Caenorhabditis elegans: one gene and its partners. The protein of the gene in region 2 interacts with the protein of the main gene of each other region in a pairwise test. Each region holds a gene or a part of one and is shown on either strand. Other genes may lie near its edges. The genes, in order: cdt-2, cki-1 and cyd-1.

Evidence for each region.
Region 1: the proteins of cki-1 (region 2) and cdt-2 interact in a two-hybrid assay, tested with the Caenorhabditis elegans proteins (one study listed by BioGRID).
Region 3: the proteins of cki-1 (region 2) and cyd-1 interact in a two-hybrid assay, tested with the Caenorhabditis elegans proteins (one study listed by BioGRID).

The regions. Positions count from the first base shown.
Region 1 is NC_003283.11:14,987,047-14,993,100, reverse strand, and holds cdt-2 (WD_REPEATS_REGION domain-containing protein), read left to right. Parts: upstream 1-1,974; 5' UTR 1,975-2,107; intron 2,108-2,181; 5' UTR 2,182-2,188; coding exon 2,189-2,305; intron 2,306-2,357; coding exon 2,358-2,502; intron 2,503-2,553; coding exon 2,554-2,748; intron 2,749-2,801; coding exon 2,802-3,260; intron 3,261-3,744; coding exon 3,745-4,351; intron 4,352-4,777; coding exon 4,778-5,080; intron 5,081-5,131; coding exon 5,132-5,354; 3' UTR 5,355-5,554; downstream 5,555-6,054. Other genes in the region: T01C3.3 (RING-type domain-containing protein), read left to right, coding at 429-963, 1,059-1,216; T01C3.2 (Transcription and mRNA export factor ENY2), read right to left, coding at 1,528-1,665, 1,709-1,783, 1,830-1,913; F02D8.4 (Peptidase M14 domain-containing protein), read right to left, coding at 5,645-5,846, 5,900-5,987, 6,034-6,054.
Region 2 is NC_003280.10:7,809,480-7,812,729, forward strand, and holds cki-1 (Cyclin-dependent kinase inhibitor 1), read left to right. Parts: upstream 1-1,760; 5' UTR 1,761-1,779; coding exon 1,780-1,988; intron 1,989-2,045; coding exon 2,046-2,391; 3' UTR 2,392-2,626; downstream 2,627-3,250. UniProt on the Caenorhabditis elegans protein: Negative cell-cycle regulator that functions at the G1-to-S-phase transition. Required for suspension of the cell cycle in dauer larvae and starved L1 larvae.
Region 3 is NC_003280.10:12,986,406-12,993,700, forward strand, and holds cyd-1 (G1/S-specific cyclin-D), read left to right. Parts: upstream 1-1,817; coding exon 1,818-1,931; intron 1,932-2,225; coding exon 2,226-2,555; intron 2,556-2,667; coding exon 2,668-2,929; intron 2,930-3,060; exon of another isoform or gene 3,061-3,244; intron 3,245-5,585; coding exon 5,586-5,722; intron 5,723-5,774; coding exon 5,775-6,149; 3' UTR 6,150-6,712; downstream 6,713-7,295. UniProt on the Caenorhabditis elegans protein: In association with cdk-4, regulates the progression through the G1 phase of the cell cycle during postembryonic development. Regulates proliferation of the coelomocyte lineage and intestinal cells during late embryogenesis.

The DNA of each region.
Region 1 (6,054 bases), on a different chromosome or scaffold from region 2:
TACCCCGCTGATACGGTAACCATTCATTATTTTATTTCGCAATTTTTCTCTTGATATTTTACTTCTTTCACATTAATTTTATGATTTAAATACAGTTTTACATCAAAAAGAACACAAATCAATGAAAAAACAAGGACTACGAGAAAAAAAAACAAAAAGTGTGTTTTGATCTTGATCTTGACCCATTGCGGCTGGCGGCAAAACTTGGATTTTCATTTTTATGCGTTCCAGTTTCTTGAGCGTTTCTGAGTGTTTTCGGCGCATTTCTGGTTTTTTTGGAGTTTACAGCCTTTTTCAGAAATTGTTTCACTCGATTTTTCTATTTTTTCTGTGCATATATGCACAGAAAAAATATATGGTTTCCATTTTCCGAGTATCTTCAAATCTGCGTTTTGATTTTTTACTTTTCATTCTAATTTTCAGGTAAGATGTCGTCTAGTGGCTCTCCACCTTCCACGCTTGTATCGACTTTCGAGGAAGCAATTGCGAAGTTGACCTCACTTTTTGGCATGATGCGCATGATGGAAGCAGAAATTAAGGATCAGCGGAACAATCTTCAAGCATTGAAAAATTCCCAGCGCCTGTCTGTCAGAGGAAGCATTCAGTCAAATATGTCGAGCAGGACGGATGGAATTCTTCAACGAAGACTAGATGAGACGGAGAGAAAGTTGGCCAAAACTTCAGCCGAACTCAAGGCCAAAGATGAGAAGTTGAAGAAGGAGACGGCAAGTCTTGAAGCCAGTCGTGAGGCTCATCGATTATTGCAAGAAGAATCGAACAAGTCGAAGGTGTCTGTGATGCGCCTTACGTTCAAGCTCAATCGCATCACACATGAATCTGTGAAAGAGCAGGCTGTTCTGAAGAAGAAGCTTCTGGACTGCGAGACCCGACTCGCTACATATTCCGAGTGCCTCGTCTGCTACCAGAAGTTTGACGAGAACACAAGAATTCCACGTGTCATGGGTGAGTAAATAAACGGATTTAAATGCTTGCTTGATTATAGATTATTAAGCTGAACTCTTATCAATTTCAGTCCAATAATTCTATCAAATTTTCAGACTGTGGACATACTCTGTGCGACTTCTGCATCAATCAGATTGTCAAGATGGCGGGTTGCTACAGCGCAACATGCCCTTTTGACCGTGTGCGCATTTTTGGATTTGGGAAGAGTCGTCGTCTCGAGGATCGCCCTTGCAATCGATTCATCATGAAATAACTGCTCCCATTTCTACATTGAAGACTCACTTATTGTATTGTGAATACTCTTATGTACATTGTTTTATCGAGAATTTGTAAATAGTATTATACTTGCACCTCTAACCTTTTTTTGCACCTTTAACCTATTTTATTTAGATTTCGTTTACAAAAAAGAAACAATAAACATTTCATGTCATGTTTTTCCTCAAATTCTCCGTTCTGTTATTGGAATTTACACCGATGAGAATCATGTTGCGTTCAATTTTTTATTGAAGAAATTTTACAAAATATAATGAGATCACAGTTGATTTCTTTCCTCGTAAAAGCGAATCATTTCTTGTTAGTAGTTGTGACGAATTCGAGAACTTGATCGTAGAGCTTCTTCTTTGCTTCTTGTGGAATTTCCCTTCTCGCCATATCCTTGACAGCATCGAAAACCTCCTTGGCACTCACGTCATCTCTGGCTTTCTGAAAAATGAGAATTAAGCGATTATGTTTGAACGAAACTGACCTCCAAGAACTTCTTCACTTCTTTCCTCACAGCGATCTCCCATTCACTATTTTGCAGACTGCTGAGTAATGTACTCTAAATTTATTGGAATTATGCCACCGAATTTTACGAATTTACTCACTTTTACAAGCGCCGACTCTCCACTGTCTTGAAATTCCATTTCGATCTGCTCTGGCTTCTTACGCATGATCAGGTCGTCGTTCATTTTTCTTTTTTTTTAGTTTTCTGAAAATTAACATAATTAATAAAATAAAACAATGCTTTACAGCAGATTTTAAAGAGAAAAACGAAGACATACACAAAGAAAGAATATGTAAAAGGTGTGTCGATTTACGATAAACAACACGCGGGCGCAATAGTGGAGTGTCGTAAGATCCGCGAAAAATGTGAATTCGAAAGGTTTCTTTTTTCTACCATTTTATAGTATTTTCTACCATTTTATCATTTTCTCAACTAAATTTCACTTTTTTCAGATAAAATATGGATTTTCTCCATTCAACAAAAGCTAGAAAAAGATATCTTCGATATCCATCATCAATATATGAAGAATTAGAATCAAAACATTATTCTATGCCGGCCGGAGAAACCGATGATCACGTAAGATTTTGCTGAGGAATACGCTGATAATTTCATAAAAATAGTATTTCAGGACACTTGGGTAACAGCCAGGTTTTCGCCTCACTTGAATCAAGAGCACATTTTGTACATGGGAGATGATCCGGGAAATATAGGAATTTTCGATGTTCGCAAGTTTCAAGATCGATCAGTGCCTTTGGAAGAACGGCAACTTTATTGTGATCTGAGCATACCTTGATTGAGGAATTTAAAAATCAAAAAGATTTCAGTTTTTCCCGCTCACGATGGTGCAATTATGGACGTTGTAGGTGTTCCCCAAAAGGAATCGCAAATTGTTTCAATATCTGGAGATTCTACTATTCGATGTTGGGATTTAAATCAATCTACGTTGGATCGAAAGTCCCAAGTGTTTTTTGGACACGAAGGATCTGTACGGTCGATCTGTTTCGCTCCGGATGATCCTAGTAAGTGTTTTTGATATTTTAAAAAATTTTTCGTGATAAAAATTTAATTCCAGACGTTTTTGTGACCGGTGGACGTGATTTCCAAGTCAAAATCTGGGATATGCGAGTATCCACAGTGAAGAAGATGGAAGAAGATTGTCGAATGGCAACTATCACATACAAGACTGCACATCCAAAACCATCAAAAGTATTAACATCAGGAACTCCTAAATCAAAAGCAAAAGCGAAAACGATAGAAGGTTATAAAGTGACAAGTGTTCTTTTTCTTGATGAGCATCACGTGGCAAGTGCTTCAGAAAATGCAGATAGTGGAATACGAGTCTGGGATATTCGAAAACCGACAAGAAACGGAGAAGGCCAGCCAGCCAGAATTCTAAAAGTTCCCACATCCAACAAAAAATCGTATGGGGTGACTTGTCTGACATTAGATCGTTTTGGTAATCGACTGTTTGCGTCATGCACCGATTCTTCAATTTTCGAGTACTCCGTTCCATCGGAGTCTGTTTCACCGAGTAAGGTTTATCGAATTTGGGTAGAAATCTCAGAAGAGAAAATCAGATTTATTTTTTAGCCGCGGCAAATCTACAAATTTTTTCATTAAAATTTAGTGATAGAGTATAAAAAATCATTTGATTCATATGAAAGTAGCTTATTTTTTAGCTGGGACAATTGAAAAAGTGCTCAAAAATCGCCGTTTGCCGAATTTTCCGGTAATTTTCAAGACAAGTTTTGAGCACTTTTCAATTTTTTTCGACTAAAATTATAGCTAATATCAGAAAATTCAAATTTTTTTTGCCATATTTTAGCACTAAATTTAATGAAAAATACTAGAAGAACATGCCATACTAGCCAATTTTGTAGAATTTCTGGTATCTCATCAATTGAGAAAGTCACAAACAAATAAAAGCATTACTTTGTGGCATTCCATGTCTTGTGCTTCAACCACGTTGCCGACACATGTTCTCGATCAATACACAAAAAACCTTGAACTTTCAGTTAATTCCTACACTGGCGCCACCATTCACAACTTTTATACCCAAGTCGCCTGCTCTCCGGTTTCTGATGTGATCGCATGTGGAAGTGAGGATAGTCGGGCTGTTGTTTGGGATCTTCAGGATCAATACAACTACATGAATGATCGAAAACTTCCGGATGATATTGACAAGCGGAGAACGAAACTTCCGCGATTTTCCTGCGATGGTCATCTTAAGCAAGTGTTGAACGTCGGATGGAGTTCTCGTGGAACATATTTCATGTCTTGTGATGAAGGAGGCGTCCGAATCTGGTCAGAGCCTAGGAATAGATGTACATGGAAGTTGAATGACGAAGATGATACCTCTTACCCGACTACTTCCCAGGAGCTCGGACTTTCATACGAAAAAATCAAGAAATTTGAGCTAAAAGAATCTGATGAAGCTATGTCGTGTTTCGATAGTATTTCCTTATCACCCAGACAGCGAGCTGATTCTTCCGGACTAAGTGGATCACCACAGAAGAATCGAGGATCGAAAAGACCTATATTTGAAAGCCCGTTAAAATCAATTTGCACAAATAGTCCAAAACCTCTCAGATTGAATAGATCTCCGAGAGCCAAGATGAGCAAGTAAGGAATATTTATCAGAAAAATGCAATCGACGTGGAAGCGTGCTCCACGGCCAATTGAAAACGCTCCGCCCCTACAAGCTGGGTCTCGTTAGGTGTTTGGCGGCATAACTGTAATTCCAAACGTTTTCAGTTCGTTTCGCCAATTTTCAACCATTTTCGTCTTAAAAAAACTACAATTTTCGTTGTTTAAGGTTTTTTCATTTTACTATATCTTTTCAATTTCGGCAAAAAATTATTAAACGCTTGCAACGAAAAATATTTTAAAAATCAAAAAAAAAACCTTGAGATCGGCGGATTTTGCCGTCAATTCCCAACGAGACCCAACATTTTGGGGCGGAGCGTTTTCAGTTCGCCGTGGAGCGCTCTTGCACCTTTTCGATTTTAAGTATACACTTTTCGTAAGCATCTAAAAAAATTATTTCAGATTATCTTTCTCCCCACCATCACCACTTCAACCAACTAATTCAAATAACCAGGATCTTGTCGGCTACCGTACTCCCCGACAAATCCGTAACAAAAAGAAGAAGAATAATCCATTTTACAACGAGCATCCAACTGAGGGTCTGCCAAACTTTGTCTACGATACATTCGTCAAAAAACTCATAGGAGAATCTTCAAAATCTGATATTGAAGATTCCGGAAAATCGTTGAGCAAGACTGGACAGAAGAGAATCGAAGACTGGTGGCAAACCAAGGGAGAAAATGTGGCAACAGTGACAAGGGCGAGGTGAAAAAATTATTAAAATTTGTCATAAATATTCAATATTATAAGTTTCAGACTCCCAAGTGTCAGTGAATTCGGTGAATCAGCATGCTCAAAAGTTATAACCGAAGACGAACGGATCGCTCTTCACTCTCCGCGTAAACTTGTTCTCAAATCATCTTCAACCCAATCTCCGTGCCCATCAAATTCAAAGCCTAAGCCCATCCCAATGACTCCACGAAAACCGATGGATAAACGACCGACAAGTCGTAATCTGTTACACTACTTCAAAAAGTAGAAATTGTGTGTAGAATTAATTGTTTTATCTCTTTCCCAACCCATGTTGCTATGTCATAAGTATTTTCACTCCCCTTCCCCATTTTCATCAGTTCTAAACTGTAAATACGTTCCTTTTTTTTCGTTTTTATCCCCGAAGCCTAATCATCGTCGGTAAAATAGTGAAAATCTGTAAAAGTAAATTAAAATTTTTATTTTTAACCCTTTGTTAGAAACAATTAAAACAAAACAACTGAAAATGTCATTTTTAAAAACCCGTTCCTCTCTTCTTCCTGCTACTCCGTTTGACTTCTACCTCCCACGACCAAATCCACGATTTCCGATTGTCCGTAAGCGATTCAGTAATAGTGTCGATTGAGCAGATGATGCAGTTGATGACGTCATTTGTTTGAATCCGAACTTGGACTTGACCTCGATCATGAGAACTTGAATAGCCTGGAATGCTTCTCGGCACACTTGATTGATCCGATCTTCTGGGAGGGAGAATCCAGTGCTGGAAATTGAAAAGTGGGTGAAAATAAAAAGAAAATAGTCCGGATAACTTACAAATCATCAATTGGAGAGAGCTCGATGGTGTAGGAGTACTTGATTCCACGAGACTTTGCCCAATCATCTGATGCTCCAGCGGCAGGATCTGAAATATAAAGTTTACCAGAATAATCGTATCGTCGGGAACTTACAAAGGCCATCTCCAGAGTTTA
Region 2 (3,250 bases):
CCTGTTAATTTATTCCGGCTTCACCTCTAATCCTTAATGACATTAACATCTTCCTAATGTGTCTAAGCTTTTCCCACGGAAAGCTAATTTCCTCTCTCTTATTTTTCTCATTACCGTTCTGGTTGAGCTTCATCTTATACCGTGAATGGTTTCATAATTACGTGCTACATAATTTGTTATGCTGGTCGAGGCTCAACGTTTCGAACATCTGGCTCTTTTCCTTCAGCTAACCACACCACTCTTCGTTACAATCCCTTCTGCGCACACATATCCTATCTACCAGCCGGACAGATGCTCGTTTCTCGGTGCAAAACGTTGAGAGTTGAGATCGAGCAGCCGGTTGGTAGTTCTTAATGACAAATTGCCAAGACTTTTTCTGAATTATTTTAGGATTTAAAACTTTTCTAAAGTATTACGATAGTTCATAATTTCTTTCTTTTTTAAAAATTGGCTCTTTTTTGTAATGTATGGTATCTAACTAAAACTAGGCCTCATTTCCATAACTATTCTTTAAATTGAGTTGAGCTCAAAGAGCTTAGACAGAACTGGTGTGAATCATAGAACCCACCTGTGTTTTTACTTTCTTTGAAAAATGTCGGTCACTTAGTCGTCTCTCTGTCTGTTCCTTTTCCTAATCACAAGTAACAACACACAGTCTTCTTTCACATATATTATTTGTTGACCAATCGTAGGGTCAACTATCTAGTACTCGAGACCGCCTATTTGAACAGAGCTCCTCACTGTCACCAAATGTACCGTATTGCTTTCCGGCTGTTATTGTTGTTATCACTGCTTCTTCTTCCTATCATGTTACCCATCCAACTATACACCTTAGACTAGTCATCTTATTGATATACATTCCTCCCATCCAACACAACGGTATTCTATTTATTTATCCAATTAGTCATAGTCGTACCACCATCCAGCACGAAGGTGCCTCTTTAGTAAAGAGTAGAAAGAAGAACCGGATGGGAAATGTTTTTGTTACAAAAATGACACATATTGTAGTGGACAGAAGGAGTGAGACAGACATGAGCAAGCCAATTTGTTTATAATTTCTCTTCTAGAAAAAAATACATTTTTCCATACTTCACTAGTCAAAACCTTTCACCTTTCTAATACATCTCGTAAACCATAATCTTGATAGTTCTGAGCATTTCAATACGAAAGCTTCTCACTGTCTAGATCTCTGACTGAGTGCCCTCATCAAAAGTGCAATCTGTCATCTGTTTCCTCATAATCACGGAGCACTAATTTTTCTCTCTGCGTCTCTATAATCAGATATCTCTCGTCACTAAGAACTTTCCGAAATGTTTATGCTTCTCATCTGACCACTTCGGTTCCGCACAAAAAAGTACGGCATTCCAAAAGAAATCTGATCCCCCTCCGTTCATTCGTGGTCCGAGTCGGTGCCACCAGTCGTTGCGCATTGAATATTTGTTTGGTCCGTTCCCCTTCTTCTCCGACTGCTGACCTCGGGCACTTTGATGACCGGGCCACCACCTCAGTACCCCTCTATTACACCCTCTTTGCCTCCGCGCATATGACTCCACCCCTTCTCGTGGAAGGCGTGTATCTCCCCTCTTTTCCGCTATTCCCTCGATGGATATATATTCAAATGTATGTGTGTTCCTGACGGGAGGGCGTCTCGCTTGAGAGCATCGTCACATCTTTTACAATTTTACTTATGATTTTACTTCATCTTCTTCTTCTTACTGCGATTTTGATATGCATTCTTATGTAAACTATTATTATTCCAGGTTTCCTCACTCTTTTCAAATGTCTTCTGCTCGTCGTTGCCTTTTCGGTCGTCCGACGCCCGAGCAACGCTCCAGGACTCGAATTTGGCTTGAAGATGCTGTTAAGCGCATGCGCCAGGAAGAAAGCCAGAAATGGGGATTCGACTTTGAACTGGAGACTCCCCTCCCAAGCTCTGCTGGATTCGTTTATGAAGTTATTCCAGAGAATTGTGTTCCGGAGTTCTACAGGTAATTGAATTTTATAAATTTTTCATAGTTATTTTACTAAACAGTTTCATTTTTCAGAACCAAAGTTCTCACTGTCAGAACCACATGCTCATCGCTGGACATCAGCTCAACGACTTTGACTCCATTGAGCTCTCCGAGCACATCTGATAAGGAGGAGCCCTCGCTGATGGATCCCAACAGCTCGTTCGAAGATGAAGAGGAACCGAAGAAGTGGCAATTCAGAGAGCCACCAACTCCACGGAAGACCCCAACAAAGCGTCAGCAGAAGATGACCGACTTCATGGCAGTTTCCCGTAAGAAGAATTCGTTGTCTCCAAACAAGCTGTCTCCGGTGAATGTGATCTTCACTCCAAAATCTCGTCGTCCAACGATCAGAACTCGATCTTCATGCTCTCCATACTAGAGGTTTCATTTTGACTTTTTTTTGCCCAATTCCACGGGTTGAATCTAATCATTTGATTATCTCCTCGACAGTTTCTGAGTCTCTCTTAATTGTTCAACTAGTCATGTTTCCACAAATGTTTTATTGTTTGTTCCAAAAGCCCTGTGATCCATGTTTAGGAACTCTGTAACTCTTTTTTCCCATTGCCATTTGTTTTAAACAACTCAAAGAAAAATAAACCCTTTGAAATTATTTTAAGAACTGTATTCTGGTGTTTTCTTCAACTTATAAAAAAAAAGACGAATAGAAACTGGCACACGGTGCAGTTCCATTGGTAACTTCAGCAAAGAATATACTGAAATCACGAAAAGTGGTACAATTCCGCGCATAATTTTGAAACTTCTAACATTCTTCATTAACTTCAAACTTCAAACATTCTGTAAATGTTGTAAGATCAAATAAATCTTTCCCGGTTCACCCACTGCCACCCAAATAGACATTGCGTGAAGATTGCGTGAATTTTAGGTAGCTACCAGCCGGATTAGGCTTCTCTAATTCAAATTGAGTAATATGGAACGTTTATGAGTATATGCTAATAATAAATAAGCATGTTTGATTACTAATTACATAACACCAAGTCATCATATCAATGGACCTTCTCTAGTCCCATAAATCATTTTTATTGCATAACTTTTTCTGAGAGTACATTATCAACATCGTCCTCCTCCCTTTTCTTATATTTTATGTGCTATTCAACCCAGAAAGACAGTTCCCCACGAGAAGACCTTGGAACGGACTTTTTATTGCGGTTTGCATTCAATCTCCGAGTAGACATTTTGAAGAGGGAACGGGAGGGCTATTACGTGGCGTGGAGGGGCAC
Region 3 (7,295 bases), 5.2 Mb from region 2:
TACGTGTGGGATGGCGCATCCCAATCTCTTTTACTACCATAATTTTCTCAACTTTCACTTTTTCTACTTTTCTAAGATTACTTGAGTGTTAACCTTCCATATCCACCTCTCCCCGTTCCCTGCTCCGTCTGATTTGTTGCTTGTCCGGTACAATTTATGAGTTTGGGAACCCACCACTGTGTTCAATGGGTGGCTCCCAAAACAATAGGCCAAATGTCGTGTGTGTGGTTTAGTGTTTGGATGAACTTTTTAAAGGTGGTGGGGGAGAAATAAAGATACAAAAAAATATATATATATGCTGCCATGGGAGACAAATTTTTGAATTTGAAGGGTAGCGTAGATGTTTAGAAAATGTCAAAAATTTCAGTCCAAGACGAACTTCAAAATTATAGTAGGTCAAAAAATCACTTTTTGACTGTAAAAAAAATTACAAAAGACATTTTAGCCTTGACAATAAATAACATAATTTCTTATTATTTTTCCAGTAAAAGAGCCCCCGTAAGAAAAAATCCTATATATTAACATTAATAGGCGCTTTCAGGTGTAGCGTAGATGTTTAGAAAAGGCCCGAATTTCACATAGATTTTTGGACACTTTAAAGGAGATTTGGCCCTTAATATAGTTTTGGTAGTCTAAAACTACCTAATATATGATAAAACAGTCTGGATTTATTTTAAGATTTTTCAAAATTTTCAGTCTAAATTTTGGCAAAAAAAAACCAAATATATATGGACTTTTTCAGTAATTTCGAGCATTTCTACAAGTTTTCATCCCTATAATATATGAATACAAAAAATTAAAGCCTGTCAAAAAACTGTGAAAACCCACTTTTTAACTGTAAAAAAATTATAAAGGGTATTTTAACACTGACGATAACTAACGTCATTTCTAAATACTTTTCTAGTAAAAGAGCATCATAAGAAAAAATCCAAAATGCTCAAAGTATTTTAGGTGATTTTAGAGCATATCACAAAACTTGAAGTTTCTGCTGTATACTTGGAAAGGCTAGAAGATGCGTAATTTTCTCTGTTTTTCAAAATTTGATTTTTGTTGATTTTTGGAAAGTTAGAAGCCTATTTAGATAACTATCAAAATTTTATTGATTTTTAAATTTCAATTAGTTTTAACACTTTTTTTTTAAACATATTACCCAAAAATGTTAATCATTCTGAACGTTTTTATTTTTTTTTGCCTTATTGACACCCTTTACCTGTCTAGACAGGAAAAGCTGCTAGTACCCTCCGTGTCTCCCGTTAACCTTGGAACTTTGCCAAACCGGAAGAGTGTAGTGATTTTGACACCTTTCTTTGTCAAGGACGTAATTATCGATCCGCAGTTTGTTTTTTTTTCGTGGTCCATAACTGTGCACCAATCAATATTTTAACACCTTATGACCCCCGCCAACCTCTTCCCAATATTGCAATTTGCCGACTGCTGACCCAGTATCCCGCTGTCTTTGGGTCATCTGCCAGCTCGTCGTCGTTCAGTCAGCAACATCAGCGCAGAAGTATTTTTCTTCATTCTCAAAAATCCCAAAACCCCCCGTCTTCATCATCATCACCTTCATTCCTTCATGTGCCTGGGGGAGACGGCTGGCCCTGGGGGGAGGTGGGGGAGAGGGTGCGCAAAAACTGGGCGGAGTCCCTGGCAGTCACCCGCCTCCGGTCACTCGACTGTCATTGCGAGTCAAGGTGCCGTACCTTGACTTACTTTTTTTTCTTGCTTTCTCTCTCCACTTGACAATTTTCTCAAATTCACTAACTTTTTGAGATTTAATAATAAGCATTAATAATAAATTCCTGAAGTTCCATTTCCAGATGGACTTTGAGTCGTCGTCGGCTGGTCCGAGCACATCTTACGCAGAGGAGCCATGCACATTATCGATGCTTCCTCAAGTTTCAGCAGTTTTGTCGGAAACATCTATTACCGAGGTAACATTTTTTTTTCTGGTGTTTAAGTTGTGTGTGTGTCGCAGTAGGAGACTTGTCCTTCTCTATTTTTTTTTGGTAGATTTTTTTCGGCAAAATTTTGACACCTTTTTCGTCGCCCACTCTTTTTCTCTCCCTCACGCTTAATTTCTAATTTTCCTCCAAGTGAAAAAAGATAAGAATCTTCTTTTCGAAAATCTCGACCACTTCATCTATTCAACATGTATGTACATAATTATTGATTTTCAATTTTAAATTTTAAAGTACAATTTTAAAATACAATTTTCAATTTTCCAGTCAAATGTGAGCTGTCAATTACACCCATCTCGATCGGCTGCTCTGAACGATAATGTCCGAACACTGATTTATAACCGTACGGATCCTCATATTCAACTCGACATGCGAGCCTTCTATAACTGTATGGAGTACGAGGAGGCGCTACAGCCCAACTATCACTACTTCACCGGCGTTCAGGAGAACATCACGCCGTTTCATCGAGAGCAGGCGATCGATTGGATTTACGACGTGGCAAAGGAGGAGAATTGTGATGGCGACGTCTTCTTGTTGGCTGTTTCGCTGATCGATAGGTTTATGTCGGTGCAGAATATTTTGAAGCATGATATTCAGGTGAGTATATTGAGTATGTTTGGAATTTCACCTCTAGTGTTAGAAGTACATAAACTAATCCTCCTGCCTCTCCTCCCATCATATCAACATTTATGAAATCAGACCCGTTCAGATGATCGCCGGAGTCGCGCTGTTTATCGCCAGTAAACTGAAGGCCCCACATCCGATGACCGCGTCGAAGATCGCCTACTACTCGGATAACAGTTGCCCCATCGATATGATTCTTCAGTGGGAGCTGCTCATTGTGACGACACTTCAATGGGAGACCGAGTCGCCGACGGCGTTCTCCTTCTTCGACTTTCTCGCCTCAAGAATCCCACAGATTCACAACATGAGGGGCGACTTTCAGACAGTTGTGCAGAAGTGCCAAAAAAGTGAGTTTTCATTTCTTTCATTCCACCTAGTCCAGTAGTTTTTTTTTTGTTCCTTTCACTCCCCCCCCCCCCCCCTGGTGCCCTGGCGCGTGTCATTTTTCAATCGGAAGGGTGTTCTTTCTCCCGTCTAATCTCTATAAAATCGAAGTCGTTTTTTGGATGATGTTGTGTGTGTGTGCGTCGCGTGTCCCCCATTCTTTTGTACTTATTGCCGGCGGTGGGCCACCCATACAGGGTTCCCGGGGCGAAAAAAGGAAACAGAGACAAGTTTTTTTGATGGGTGGTCGTAGGACTGTGCGGTAGGGTCGGGCGAGCGACACCGTTGCATTTACATAATGTGGTGGAAGGGACAAGAAAAATGAGATTTACTAGGATATTTTTGGCCGGGATGAGGGGAGAAAAATAGCTTCTAGAAAAGAAGGAAGAAGCCTGTTTTTTTTGCACTTTCCATATTGATTCATCATTACCAGCCTAATTTAGCCTAATCCACCTCCACCTAAGCCAAATCAAACAAACAAGTTTCTTCTTTCCAGCACAGCAGGTGGGCTAGTGGGCCAGTCTTTGTCTAATGAGCTTAAGTCCTATCTCCCCAAGGGAAAGTGTCCTACCTATCGAAAAAAGTTCATCTTAGACCGAATTGAATTGAGGAAAATTTCGGAATTAGCCTATGCAAACAGTCCAAAAGTTGTTAGTTGTTAGTTTTTGCGTACGGCTCATTGGTCATTTGACACGCGCTGACCTAGGTTTTAGCGCCTTTGTTAAGGCTTCCCACCCCCCAACTACAGATATAAGATACCAAAAAGTAAGTGAGTCAGTACCAGGTACACAAAATTTTGTGCGTCCTCTTTGTTCTCAAGCCGTCCTCCTCTGTGGTGACACACTGAGACGCTAAAAAATGACTGTGTGTGTGCGCGTGTGTGTGTGTGGGGTAGTACAATTTTGCAATTACTCTTAAGAACATCTGGGTGAATATCTGAATTAGAAGAATATGGCTGTAAATAGTGACATGACAGCCCAGGTGGCCCGGGTTCAATTATAGATAGCTATCTCCCGGGCGGCATGGCTTGGGGGGTGAAATTAGTGGGCTCTTAGGGAAACCGTTTAACTGTTGCGGATCACTTGACACCCGAAACAATTAGAAGGCGACTCCCCTTAAACACATGTCGCTTTAATCCCGGCGGTTGAAGTGACTTCAAAGAATAGGCTCTACAGTAGGCAATACCTTTTTCAAAATGCCCTTGTACCTATTGCCCAATGTTTATTTGAACAAAACTTCCGATCGGCATCGCCTTTGGCAACTTGATAGCGTGATGGAATGCTCTGATCGATCATCTCGCAGTGTTTGCCCCCCCCCCCCCCCCCCCCATATCCTTCTGCCTTAATGGATGTTCAGTTATCCAAACGGATTAGGAAAGTTGTGTCCACCTGGCGCGTGCCTACCCGTTGATTTATACATTTGGAAGATTTGGGCTAGATTATGAAAGAATACCGTGTGTGTGTGTTTGTAGGTATGTATGTATGGGGGTGAAAAGGAGTGAAATCTGCGCTTCTTGATTTACGATGACGAGCCCCCGTGATGTTGTGCCTGTTGTTGCGCGGCCCTCACACACAAAGAAAAGTTATGTCGCAATCTGCTCTTCCAAGACACCACCGATGACAAGGGATGTATATCATCTACATTAATGTTATGACAGTATGGGAAGGGTCATCTCTCTGGGGCAACTGATGACATTTGAATTTGAAATTTGAATGGAGATCATCGTATAATAATGAATGTTTCATCAGCCAAGGCCTAATTGATTGACAGTGCCCCCGTAGTGGAATTTGAAAAGGAGCAGCTGAAGAAGGAGTCATCAATCGTTGGACATCCGTTTGACCGATATATAAATTCATTCGCGGTCGATTACTTTTTTATTGGGATTACGGAAGCGTGTGCCATCCTCATTGAGGAGGATGAGATGCTTCCCAGATTTTCAAATATCTTTACATCATCACCATCATCATCATCGTCTACCAGCTGTCATTTCGGGCGGTCTATTCAATTATGCAACATGACCGCGCGATCCTACACATACTGTCAACAGGTGCTCGAGGCTTAAAAGGAGCATAGCCTAATTGCGCATGTTTGAATGGGCTTCTGGTGATTTTTTTGACGCAAGGCATTGTGAAGAACGTGTGATGTCACAAGCGGTTTGGAGAGTCGGTTTTGAAAAAGGAGTGTGAAATTACATGAAAATAGCACGACGACCTTCCTCTACAGTAGGCAAAGTTTATGTTAGCACAAGATAAGCGTTTTACCTCTCTCTCTCTCTCGGCAGCCAGCCCGTTTCAATTTCAAAATTTTTGGCGCGTCAGACCCCTGGAAGATATGTATGAAGGTGTGAAAACGCGCACTTTGAGGCAGAGAGAGTTCCACTGATGTTTCAGACGCCCAGACACTTAGAGACTTGTTCGTAGATAATCATCTATGTCCTCCACAGCCACCCTCTTCGATTTTTCTTAATGATTGAAATCGAAACCTTGAGGCGCGAGCGAGCGAATGATTGGCAGAGGGAACAGTGATGAATGGGCCAAGGGGGGAGAAAAGATTGAACTTAAATTTTGGAATTTTGGAATTTTAATGATAAAATCAATAATATGAATATTGGTTTTTCAGTGCACAAACTTGCCACCTTATTCCCATCCATGCAATGTGCAATTGGCCTCTACTACGTATCGAATCTCCCAACACAGAATAAGGAGCTGGCAGTAAAGATCAAGGATCTCTTGGCAAACATGTTCCAGTTGGAAGTGGTTAGTGAAAAAAAAATCAGCACTTATAATTTCTTATCTAAACCTTTTCCAGAACCTTCTCGACTCGTACATCCCGATGGTGCAGCGTTGCATGAGCACAACGCCAATCTACACATCAGAAGATGCTGAGAAGACGGAACCGACACCATCCGCGCCGGCCTCCACTCAAGAGCCAGAGGCCTTCCAAGAGCTCAAGGAGCTCAAGGAAGAACCCCTCCCAACTCCACCACCAGAGGAACCTGCCTTCCAGAAGCTTGTGCTCCTCGAGCCGATCCCCCTCTCCGAGCAAACTCCATCAACTCCCCTCAACGACTCGGGCTTCTCGTCTGATGTCTCCAGCCCCGCATCCTCAGAGAAGAAGCGTCGTCGGAGCACAGACTGGTTTGAGGAGGACTCGACGCCGCCGAAGATCTTCAAGACTTTATGAACATTTGTTACCCATTATTTTATGCATTGTTTAGCTTCTATGTCGATTCGAAACCAAATCCCAAAAAATCTCAAAACACATCCAGTCTTCCATTTTCTATGTAGCTTTTGCATTATTTCCTAAACTTTAATTTTTAAACCGGTGTTCCCAACAAATCTTCCAGTTTATTATTCTTATTATTCTGAAAAAAATAATATATATATATATTAAAACATTTATTCTAAGTTATTTCCACCTCCCTCCCCCTCTCCGAGAGTTCGGATGTGCTCGAACCTTTTGTTGGATTTTCCTATGAAATTCCAACTGCTTCCTGGTTCTTGTCACATCCACGACTTCGTTTGTGATTAGTCAAATCCTGCCCAAGCCTCCTCCCAAAAATTAATCATTTCTATACTAGAATTCCCACTTGCTTCTTTCATCTTTTTTCCAGATCCCTCTTGCTCAATTCGCTTCCTACACCCAATTCTGATGACCATTGAAATTACTTGTATTGTACAAAAATTCTCGCTGTTTCGATGATTACTTTTTTCTATTTGTGAAATAATAAAGATTCCCCACAACCACCAAACATATATTTCACTATTTACCCGGAATCACCATATGACGTTGTTTGACCCTTCGAGGTTGTGACGTCACACAGACCCCCACTTCTAGAGTTGCGTCAAACTGCAAGCTCGTGAAGCGAGCACTTATTCAAATCTTGACCATAAGCGCAACATACATTATTAGCATCTGTTGATGACGTTGAGCTTGCGCTAGTAGAAGATCAGAGATATGTGAAGCAGGTGGACGGGCCCCTTTTTTTATAAAACAGTGCAAAAAAATTTGTTTCTTGTGACGAAATTGAATTTTTTCCAGCAAATCGGCAATTTCTGTAATAATAGACAAAAAGCAAAGTTATCTAAAATCTCCAAATTGTGCTTGAAAATCGGAAAACCGCTTAGTTTTCATCTGGAACTTGTCTAGAACTGGAGAAACACGTGGCGTCAGTGTGTCCCATGTCGGTTTGATCTACGTAATTGCGGGAATTTAGACGTAGACTTCTGAACTGGATTTGCATGGCTAAGAGCGTGATGACGTCACATTTTTCTGGGTTAAAAATTCCCGCATTTTTGTAGATCAAAACGTGATGGGACAGCCTGGAGA